Solanum lycopersicum: one gene and its partners. The protein of the gene in region 2 binds, or shares a complex with, the protein of the main gene of each other region. Links are inferred from orthologs where the notes say so. Each region holds a gene or a part of one and is shown on either strand. Other genes may lie near its edges.

Region 1 (3,251 bases), on a different chromosome or scaffold from region 2:
TCTTTAAATTTTTGTCGAGTTGATCTATAATTTTTATTCTTAGAAATCAAATTTACGCAGAACAGAAATTTGTTTTTTTAAAGACACAAATATAACTTGTAAGATATTATTATAGAAACAAATGTACTTATGTTCCTCATGGGATACAATCCCGACCTCATATGTTGGGTTATATGATGTGTGCGTAGTTGAGCGTTATCAATGGATCTTAATATTTTCTTACCAAACATTAATATTGCTTGATTATTATTTCTATTTATAAATATGTCTTCATTTGATGGGTTCACTATTCGATAGTTATTTGTAGTGTATTTTAAGAAAGTTTTGAAAGGCGTACAAATGCCCTGAAATTACATGTGGGACTTAAATTCTATGCATGTGGCTCACCTAGCCGATTTTACACAAAGTTGTGTCAAATTCGTTAGTTAAGCTTTGTTGACTCTCATATGTGCTTAATAGTTTGTTTTTTTTTTCTTTTTACCTATAGATATAAGAATATTGAGAATAACTCAAACAAGTCATAGTATTGTACATTTACTACTCCATTTGAGAACATCGAGAGGATGAATATATACTTAACATTAACTTATATAAATAGCCAAATTTTACATTTTCGATTCTCATTGGTCTTTCTTGTACAAAGTTGCTCTATTTAAACCATGAAATAAATTAAGGGAAAAGAAAAGAGAGCAAAAGAAGGAAAGAAGAAACAAAAATGTGCCTAAATAATAAAAAATGGAACATTTGCAACCCAACCTTACTATCTACTAAGCAGCCTTTCTGTTGGTTTGCAAAGGTTTTGGTCAGAGTTGATGTGAAAAAGGACATTGTCTCTAAACCTCAACATTCACTACTAGGCAACTTCCGATGTCGGTCTGACCAGAAAACTCAAACAACCACCATTGATGTTAACTTCTGTGGAGGGGCGCAGGATAAATGTCCAGCGGTTGATAACTCAAACGGTCATTATGAGGCAATGGTCCTTCCTGAGAATTTAAAACATTTTTATAGGCACAGTACAATTGAGAAAATCAAAATCTGCATGAGATTGCGAGCTAAAAATATTCACAAGGAAGAAGGTTGCCCCTGACTCAGATCATTAAGCAAAAGCACGCGACAAGCCTCGTACAATCTACTTTGAGAGCCCCATCCCCGTCATGCAAAGCAACAGGATGTTTAAAACAAAAATAACAGCAGACATATTACTGGGTTGCATTGTACACATTCTATATTATCCCTATTCTCACGTTTCTAAAGAGAATGGTATTGTTATAAAGACTTCACATTATCTCTTGAAAGTAAATATGAAGATTGAGAATCTGAAAATATTATATTACCTCCTCCATGTTTATTTGGAAAGGCTTCACAAAATCTTCGAACATGGCAGGCTGTAACCCTCTCATTTTGTCTTCTACTTCCTGAAGAAGCAACAGAGGGTGTCAACAGAAATAAGGATGCAAACAAAAGATGTAGACAAGCTAAACAAACTGGGAGTACACTTGGAGATTTTGATGAAAATTATCAGGTATTCTCTGTTCTAAAAAAACCTATAAGTATAGGTTACGGGTGGCAAAATGGTTAAATTTTTACCATTCCAGGCAGTATTGCCCAAATAAAGCTGCCAGAGGATAAGAGTTAAAATGTTCAATGTTTTGCTTGGAAAAACTACCAGTTTCCTGAATCTTGGTAATGTGGAAACAAATTGAAATATGCATTTGAAACAGTTTATCAAGGCTTAAACTAATTGATATTAGCTCATCAAAAGGTGGTTATCCACTCTAAACATCTGTGGAGGTACCAAGTGATAATTAAACGAAGTCTGCAAGTCATTTTAAATCTCCTGTTCAAGTTTCAAATTTATTATCAATCTTGAATTTATCACTGTCTGACAGCTTGAGGAGCGACAATGAAGAATGTTAATTGGCATGTATGTTTCAGTATCAGTACTACAATGAGCTCCTTTCTATGTTGCTCGGACTCTTCAAAAATGCGAATAGGTGCGTGTCAAATTCGCCAAAAGTAGTGTATTTTTGAAGAATCCGAGATGGGTGCGGCATCAACAATGAAGAGTTCGCTCAACTAAGGCTCCTTTTGTGTCATAGCATCCTCTTTTTCTAACTATCAAGAAGATCCTCTCTAGTATTTGTCAATGCTCTGGCACTTGACAGCTTCCTACATATAGCAAGATATAAAGGAACCATTTCGTTTGACGTTCCAAGTAAATCCTTCTGAACCAAATTAAGTCCATGAGCCCTTGAAAGTTTGGTTAAAAGTGGCATTTGGTGTATACACATATCTCTTATTTGATTCTGTCGTGAATGATAGGTATTACATAGGTTCTTCTCTCTGCTAGTTCAATTATAACTAACCTGTGTAGCTCATATACTGCTCCACTACGCATTCTTTTCAAGAAATTCTATGTGAGATTCCCTTTGTAAAAATGAACATACAAATAGTTTATAATAGGTTTTTTTTCAGTAAATATGGTTTACATTAGGGAATTGGGGAGTTTCTAAGCCTGACAATACTCTAAGGGGTCGTTTGATAGAGTGTATTAGAGAAAATAATGCATGCATTAGTTTGATGTATTAGTAGTACTTTGTTTGGTACACTTTTCTAGCCAATGCATAACTAATGCTTGTGTTAGTAATACACTCTATTGTGTATTAAAGAGTGTATTACTAATGCCATCTATTTCTATGCATTAGTAATGCAATGGGTTCTAATGCATGCATTAACATTATAAAAGACACAATTGGCCTTAAAAACTTTTTTTATCCTTTCCACCATATTTAAGGAGGGTATTTTTTAAACAATTTTTTTTTTCTAAAAATATTATGCAATGCATTATATTTAAAACTTGCATTAAATTAATAATTACAAAACTACCCTCAAAGCCTTTTTGAAACATTTCCCAACATTTTCTTTTCTTTTAATTTCTTTGTTATGTGTTTTCATTTTCATCTATTTTTCTGTCTTTTAATTTGTTGGTGTTTTAATAGACTTTATGGCCTCTTAGATATATTTTTTGTAAAAAAATAATAATCTAATTTCAACATAATTTAATAAGAAAAATTACTATTGTGGCGATAAATTTGATAAAAGAAATTCTTTTCCAACTTTTCACAAAAATATTATGACTCAATAGTACAACTATTTAATATTATTTTTGAAAAAGAAGAAGAAGAAGAAGAGGAGGAGTTAATGATGTTTTAGCAAATGACTTTGTTGCAGCTTGCAAGAAAGTGTAT
Region 2 (3,571 bases):
GTCGAATCATTTTATGAGAAGCAGCCATGCAGCAGGGGGCCGGCAGATTGTTAGATCTGGAGTTCTCGCAAGGCCAGGTGACGGAATCCCAGTTTCAGCAAGCTGGTTTATGTAAATCATAGGCTGAAGGGAACTCGTCCGACTTTTCGAAAGGGTGATGACCACTCTAGGTTGGTGGGCAACCCGGGATGGAAGTGGTTTTAGGGTTGGTTCACCTCCGGCGACCTCGCCGGAGCCGGAAATTGTCTTGGGTCCGGCTGGAAAATCTCAGATCCGGAATTTTGAACCTGTTTTACTGGTTCCAACTCCATTTTTCTTCTTCTAAGGAGAAAGGGCTGCTAGTCATGTTTTTGTTAACTGTTAACTGTTTTTGGGTACTAAATATGGATGTTATGATGTTTAGGAGGATGATATGTTGCCATTAGCATGTTCTGAGGAAGGTAGAAGCTTGATTAGTAGGGAGGGAGAGAAATACTTGATGTTCGCGGAATTTTTGGGAGTGTTCTTTGAAGGGAAGGAGGGTAGGGTGTTAGAACTCCCTCGAGGCATTGAACAAGAGGCAAGAGGGGTTAGAGAAAAGGAGATTGTTGACATGAGGGTGGGTAAGGGAAAGAGTATGCGGAAGGATAAAAGGGAGAAGGTAACTTGCTGGAGTACAAGAGGAGAGGTAGGAGTAGGAGTAAGAGTTGGGGTATAGGAGATTGGAGGATTGCTGGTTAGGGTAAATTCTAACCTACTGGTGTTCAAGAGGAGATGTAGGAGTAGGAGTTAGAGTGGGGGTACATGAGATGGGAGGATTTGTGTGAGGGTAAAGTTGTTGATTACGGAAGTAAAAATTATTTCTTAGAATGTGAAGGGGGAATGAGTGACCCTTATAAGAGAGCTATTACTAAAATGGGAGTAGAGAGTTGGGGTGGGGTTTGGGGGTTGGACTATTGTGCCTCTAAGAGACTAAAATGGAGGTGGTGACAAATGCGGTGGTGAGAAGTCTTGATTTGGGTGGTGGATGGGCAAATATGATTGGGTTTCGACTTTAGGGAATGCATGGGTATCAAAGTTTTTGGGGATGACAGAAATTAGACATGATGGAGGTAAGCAAGGGGGAGTTTATGGTCGCATTGCTGGTAAAATCTTTGGAAGTGATGAGGAATTAGGCCTCGGGGAAAGGAGGGTGTACAGTCTGGTGAGGGAAAGAGAGTTTGTGGGAAGAGATATCCACTATGATGATAGGGTGGGAGGTCCCTTGGGTGTTAGGAGGGGATTTTAACACTGTAAGATTTCATGACTGGAGAGTGGATTGCAAGGGTGATTTTTAGGGCGATGGAGGAGTCTTTAGAGTTTGTTGATAACCAATATCTTCTTGATCTTCCTTTGACAGGACAAATTTACTTGGGCCAGAGCAGGTGATTCCACATCAAAATCTAGATTTGTTAGATTCTTGGTATCCACTGATTGAGTGGAGTTGGTCCCAAATGTGTTGCAAGTCCCATTACCTAGATTGACCTTGGATCATACGCCTATCTTGCTAGATGGGAGTAGAAGGAGCAGTTTGCGCATTTCGTTTAGATTCAAGAACATGTAGCTCAGAGAACTAGATTATGTGGATATAGCAAATAGGTGGTGGAACGGGTCTGAAGTCTTGTCTTGCTAGCATCTCCAAAGAAATGGGGAGGGCTGGAGTGAAAGATTTCAGGATGTACAATAAAGCTTTGTTAGGGAAGTGGATATGGACATTCGGGATGGAGGAGACTGCTCTTTGGAGGGTGGTGGTGGATAAATATGGCATAATGGATGGTGGATCGAGTATAAAAAACATTGTAACTTTATTTAGGTATGGTTTGTGGAGGAGTATCATGAAGGGGTGAAAACATTTTTGTGGACATATCTCTTTCAAGGTTGGGGACGGAAGTAGGTTTAGTTGAGGACACATAAGTGGTGTAAGGAGATCGAGTTGAAGGAAGCCTTACCTAATTTATATCGTGAATCTAGCCAGCGAGAGATGACAATCCAACAAATTTGTAGGTCTCATGAGTGGATGGGTGTTATCCACCATGACTTAAGATTCAAAAGCAACCTAAATCATTGTGAGATGGAAGAATTTCACAATTGATTCAGCTTTTGTATAGCCTAGGCACACCAAACAACTTAATGGATGTATGTAGGTTGCAAGAGAGTGGTGATGGCTTATTCACCGTTTGCTCTTTTTACAAGAAGTTGCTAGTGAGAGAGGTAGGTATTTACCTCCAAGACTCCATTTGATCCTAGAGCACTAAGGCGGCTTGTTTATTTGTATTTTTGGCGGTGCATTGCCCCCTTATCAATCACGTGGGTCATTTGGAAAGAGAGGAATATGAGGGCTTCTGAAGGTGTGGAACTTGATATTGTAAAAATGAAGAGTAGTGTTTTGTCCCTAGTTTCTTTTTGGTGTACTTGCGAGGTCCCAATTTGTATAGAGGATTGGATCTCTTCTGTTGAGAACCATTATTTGAGAACCATTATTTGGTGGAGGTTCTCTTTTTTGGTGTATGGCTTGTATATATTGTTCCCCGAAATACTAATAAAATTCACCTTGTTAAAAAAAGAGAAGATGTTGACCAGGAAGGAGATTGACTATCCTTATGATTCGATTTGGATTTCTGTGATTCCAAGAGATGTATATTTTTCTTTCACTTGGTTAGTGGCTAGGGGGGGTAATCATGACACCTAGAATGTAAGGAAGAGAAAACTCTCTTATGTCAGTTGGTGGTTTATGTGCAAGGGCCTGGGCACATTAATAATCTTCTTCTTTATTGCTGGTCATTCTCGACTCTCGAGATTATGGTGGGAAACTCTGGCATGGTTTGGAGTACAATGGGTGATGCCGGGCGCTTTGAAAGCAATGTTGACCAGCTGTCATTGTGGCAGACGGAGGAAAAGACATAGGGTTTGGAATGTAGCACTTAGTGGATTGTGTGGAGAGAAAGAAATAGGAGAGCTTTTGAAGGGATGGTGATAAATTTAGTTTAGTTGAGGACTAGCCCTCATCCCATATTGCTTTTTGGTGCATCCATGAGATCCCCTTAGGTATAGAAGATTGGATGCCTTTGGTATAAAAAACATTTGTTTTTGCAGATTTTCTACTTTTTGGCTTATCTCTTGTGTATGGTCGTTTCTTTCTCCCAAACATCAATAATATCTTCTTAAATTAAAAAAAACACTGTACGTATCTAATTTTCTTTTTACCATCTGCCATCAGTGCAAAATTCATATCAGCAGAAGAAAAGACTGGTATAACTTTTGATGATTTTGCTGGCCAAGAATATATTAAGAGAGAACTTCAAGAGATAGTTCGAATATTGAGGAATGAAGAAGAGTTTCAAGACAAAGGGATTTATTGCCCAAAAGGTGTGCTTCTTCATGGTCCTCCTGGAACTGGCAAAACACTTCTGGCAAAAGCTATAGCTGGAGAAGCAGGATTACCTTTTTTTGCTGCTAACGGTACTGATTTTGTTGAGGTGAGAAGTACTTGCAATTCCGACACACTTACATGGAAGAGTAAATTCTAACAGCTGCAAGATTATTAAAGTTTCTT
Region 3 (3,571 bases), on a different chromosome or scaffold from region 2:
CCTTTTAGTTTGTTCCTTTAAGAATGACAACTTTCTAAATTAGGAAATGATTGAAGAAGTACTTCCAATGTACCTTTAATGAGAAGATTTTATAGCCACACATGTTATGGAATTTTTAAAACCACAGGCTTCTAAAGCCTTAAAGCCACACAAATCTTAAATTTTGAGACATGGTTATGATCATCAGTCTCAAAAATCTTCCTTTCTTAAAGTCCATTCCTATTCAAATTGCCACAAAAATTGGAATGGCGGGAGTTCAATTTTGTGCTGTTTGATTTCAAAATGCTTCATATTCTTTTTCTTTCTGTGTAAACATGCTTCATCTAAGTTCACTCTGGTAAAAATTGAACAATGATATATTGGCAAGGAACAGCGGCTGAGCCACGTGTAAAGAAGGGAATTCAATTGAATCCCCTTCATCCAAAAATTAATCTTTGCAATAGGATAAAAGCAATTTTCTGTATGCATATAACTTTTTGAATCCCTGTGAAAGAAAAAGAGCTTCCAGTGTAATGGAAAATGTAGATAAAAAATTATTTTTACATTTTTGACTCTTTGTTATAGTTCATGGCCCTGTCAATGGTAAAAGAAGTTCATGCTTCATAATCATATATGTTCTATTCAGATGATTATTTTATCTCGAAATTCTTATGCAAAGATTAACTGTGGTAGAGTTTCAACCTAAGTCCCAGTAAGCCTTATCCTATTGCTGGGTTCGGATACAGGAAGTCAGGAACCCATTTGCTTTATTCAGCTTTATCTACAAACATCCGCCACTCGATGTCAAGTAACAGGTCTTTTATTGATGTCTCTGTTGTTTTTCTCATCCTCTTCCCTCCTTTTAAGGATTTATGTACCACAATTCCCTTCAATCTGCATAATCAAAGTTCTTTTAGCTATTGCGGAATCTCACAATACAAGCCTTGTACAATTGGCTGTGACGTTCAGAGAAAAGCCATTTCGACTGTTAAACTCATTGAAGAGATGACTTTTGAGTTTTCATCTATGATTATAATGAAGTTCTGAAGTTGTCTTCTTGTTGCAAAATTAACATTTTCACACGTAAAATATATTGATAAAAGACAACATATAGATCCAATAGATTCAAACTAAATTCATCGGCATCTGCTTTTATGAAAAATGACAGATGAAATTGATTGCCTTATTTTATTTCATCTTTTACCTATTTGAGGGTTTCATAGTCTGGAAGTCTAGAACACTTGGAAGCCAGATTTTGCTGACAGCTTATGTAGTCGTGTTTGCATTCCAGGAATCTATGCGATATGATCAACTTCGAGATGTGGTGGCCAAGAGAAAACCTGGATGGGAGTATTTGCAAGAAGTATGACATTTTTTTTTTGTGGTAAATATGTCTGAGTAATATCCCGATCAACTTTCTTGACTAAATTATCTTACAGGCCTTGGTCTCTATTGATCCTGCCCGAGCAAGAGAAGATCCTATTATTGTGAAAAACGTTCCTTACTTCAAGGCCAAGAAAACTCTGGAGGCAGAAGTCATGAAGCTTGACCCTCCGCCGCGTCCTCAAAATTGGGGGGTATGTTTTATCTTTACTAGAATTTCTTACTATTTCTAGTTACATTCTTGTTTAAATGCCCGCTATTTTCTGTATGGTTTATCTTGGAGTTATTGTGAATAACCATTGTACATTAGATAACTTGTTTTTCCGACAAAGTCCCCTTAGAAAAGCTAAAAAAGACGGGAAAGTTCTGCTTCTATCGGCTGTCTTAAGTGTGTATTAAAATTTCCTCCGCATCTTAAGTTCAAGTGATTAATTTGGAAGGTCAGCATGCTGTTGATTTGTCAGGAAGTTCTCTCTTGCTCTTCTATTGTTATTGTTATTTTCCTTATATTCATACGGGGTAATACAACCATTTGCAGGAGTTGAACCTTCCATTAAACGCATCTTCTTGGAGTGAAAAGGACCTCAAAGACCCAAAAAAGCTCTATGAGATGACAGTTCTTCTTAATGCACAGAGAGAAATTTCTGAAAAGATGCTGGATGCCCAGTGGGAAGCGAAATGGAGAGAAGAAAAGGTTGGTCTATCAGAGATTTCTTTTCCTGAAATGTCAGTAGAGAGTATTGAGAATTTCTAACCAACCCCAACTTGTTTAAGACTAAGGCTTAGTTGCTGTTTGTCTAGATACGAAGAGGGAAAAAAATGTCGTATGGGTTTCTGATTATTTTTTAACCCTGTTCATCTGGACAAATTTGACCTTTTCCCTTAAACATGGACACTTTAGTTTCCCTCATGATTTTACTGATTAAACTGCTAGGATAGAATTTGATGTTCTTGTTCAATCACAGAAGCGCGAAAAAACAACAACAAACAAATTAGATGTATGGCTCCAGTTTCATAATAATAATTCAAAGATCCATAAATGTATGCCGCTTCTGAATTTCTTTTACCCTCTCTCTGTTTTGGTATTTTGCTTGCTTTGTAAAGTATTACATAGTGACTTCACTGAAGTACAATTTTTCTTTCTTGTGCCTGCTAGTTTGTGCTTTCAAGTTTGAACTGGTTAAGAATTTTCCTGATAATCAATACTCCTATTTTCTTTGCCTCAGATTGAATGACTTTATCTCCAGGAATGTAATATTTCTCCTATTCAATTTGTTTCTTGCTGAATGTAGAGAAGAAGTCTCTTAGTAGCTTACTCTTCTAAAAAAGTATTCAAAAGTTTAAAGTGTGTGGCAAAGTCCAATACAACTTGTAGCGCGAAGTATTATGAAGTGGCACCTTAACTAAATGATATTCAAGCAAAAGTCTTGACTATCTCCTTCAAATTTATTACCTGTAATATGTACATTCTTGAACTTCGTGAAAATGATTTTAAGCGTGTTCTAGACATGAGTCTTCAAGAGGTGCATTGATAATGCTTAGTAATGTTTGCATTAATTATACATAGATTTCTTATGCTTTATTTGCTTTGGTGTATTAAAAATAGCATGCATTGCATAAAAATATTTACTGACTAAAGAAACCCTTCACAATTATGTTCAAAAAGATGTAAAAAAGATTTTCAGGGGCAATAAGTCTTTAACTATGCTAATGCATGCATTAAAACCCCTTGCATTACTAATATCTAGAAATCCATGGTATTAGTAATACACATCTTAATGTACAATAGAGTGTACATTAGTTATACATAGCATGAAAAAATATACCAAACAAGATATTACTAATACACAGAGTTAATACATACATTACTTTTGCTAATACATTCTACCAAACAACCCCTTAAAGTTCTATCTCTGGAATGCAGATGACTGACAATACTGTATGTGTGGTACGGGTACCTTCTCTGGCATCTGAAACATGTATCTTGATTCATATTTTTTGTGTGTAGCTGGTGTCTACAATTTGATTGAACTAACAATTATCTCATATTTTCCCGATATCTTTTTGTCGGACAAATAAACATCTATATTACTGATATTAGTTGCTGATATGTTCTCTTCTCTGTTATTTTTTGTTCATATCTCAGCTTAACAAAATGTTGGAGGAGAAGGTACGACCATACATTCAGAATATCGACAATACTGTACTT

What was found. The genes of interacting proteins can lie anywhere in the genome.
Region 1: the proteins of probable inactive ATP-dependent zinc metalloprotease FTSHI 4, chloroplastic (region 2) and ATP-dependent zinc metalloprotease FTSH 12, chloroplastic are in contact, whole or in part, in a cryo-EM structure (PDB 8XKU), measured with the Arabidopsis thaliana proteins. The link is inferred for Solanum lycopersicum from reciprocal best matches to the Arabidopsis thaliana genes EMB3144 and FTSH12. Residues at the interface, in NP_201263.2 of Arabidopsis thaliana: Lys91, Leu92, Arg93, Glu94, Glu96, Arg97, Leu100, Met103, Glu104, Val112, Glu115, Arg116, Val119, Met120, Asp123, Arg126, Tyr167, Tyr170, Asn213, Trp216, Lys217, His220, Val224, Asn225, Val226, Glu227, Val228, Asn230, Val231, Val234; in NP_565212.1 of Arabidopsis thaliana: Leu255, Ile258, Ile259, Asn262, Arg264, Ile265, Gln266, Lys270, Leu273, Leu277, Val279, Lys359, Leu360, Pro361, Tyr362, Thr363, Tyr364, Leu366, Lys368, Glu373, Asp382, Lys384, Arg385, Met390, Glu392, Tyr398, Asp401, Ile402, Pro403, Leu404.
Region 3: the proteins of probable inactive ATP-dependent zinc metalloprotease FTSHI 4, chloroplastic (region 2) and uncharacterized protein are in contact, whole or in part, in a cryo-EM structure (PDB 8XKV), measured with the Arabidopsis thaliana proteins. The link is inferred for Solanum lycopersicum from reciprocal best matches to the Arabidopsis thaliana genes EMB3144 and emb2737. Residues at the interface, in NP_201263.2 of Arabidopsis thaliana: Asn149, Phe150, Ser151, Met154, Tyr170, Gly171, Gln172, Arg206, Met207, Pro208, Ile209, Asp210, Gly211, Asn213, Asp214, Asp232, Val233, Val234, Glu237, Thr240, Thr241, Thr244, Phe245, Trp248, Leu252, Phe255, Val256, Tyr259, Asp263, Thr266; in NP_001032071.1 of Arabidopsis thaliana: Pro63, Glu64, Ser67, Ser70, Tyr71, Ser73, Val74, Val77, Ala78, Leu80, Gly81, Asp84, Ile85, Asp88, Lys92, Cys102, Asn103, Trp105, Gln106, Ala107, Leu108, Arg109, Lys114, Gly115, Thr116, Gly117, Gly173, Thr174, Gly175, Ala176.

What each region holds. Positions count from the first base shown.
Region 1 is NC_090801.1:59,816,164-59,819,414, reverse strand, and holds the end of ATP-dependent zinc metalloprotease FTSH 12, chloroplastic, read right to left. Parts: intron 1,419-3,251; coding exon 1,338-1,418; intron 987-1,337; coding exon 909-986; 3' UTR 571-908; downstream 1-570. UniProt on the Arabidopsis thaliana protein: Probable ATP-dependent zinc metallopeptidase.
Region 2 is NC_090803.1:56,950,320-56,953,890, forward strand, and holds part of probable inactive ATP-dependent zinc metalloprotease FTSHI 4, chloroplastic, read left to right. Parts: intron 1-3,235; coding exon 3,236-3,494; intron 3,495-3,571. UniProt on the Arabidopsis thaliana protein: Functions in chloroplast biogenesis and chloroplast division. Required for plastid development during embryogenesis. Might be involved in chaperone functions or play a structural role in the thylakoid FtsH complex.
Region 3 is NC_090811.1:5,248,374-5,251,944, forward strand, and holds part of uncharacterized protein, read left to right. Parts: intron 1-1,270; coding exon 1,271-1,342; intron 1,343-1,418; coding exon 1,419-1,556; intron 1,557-1,900; coding exon 1,901-2,056; intron 2,057-3,508; coding exon 3,509-3,571.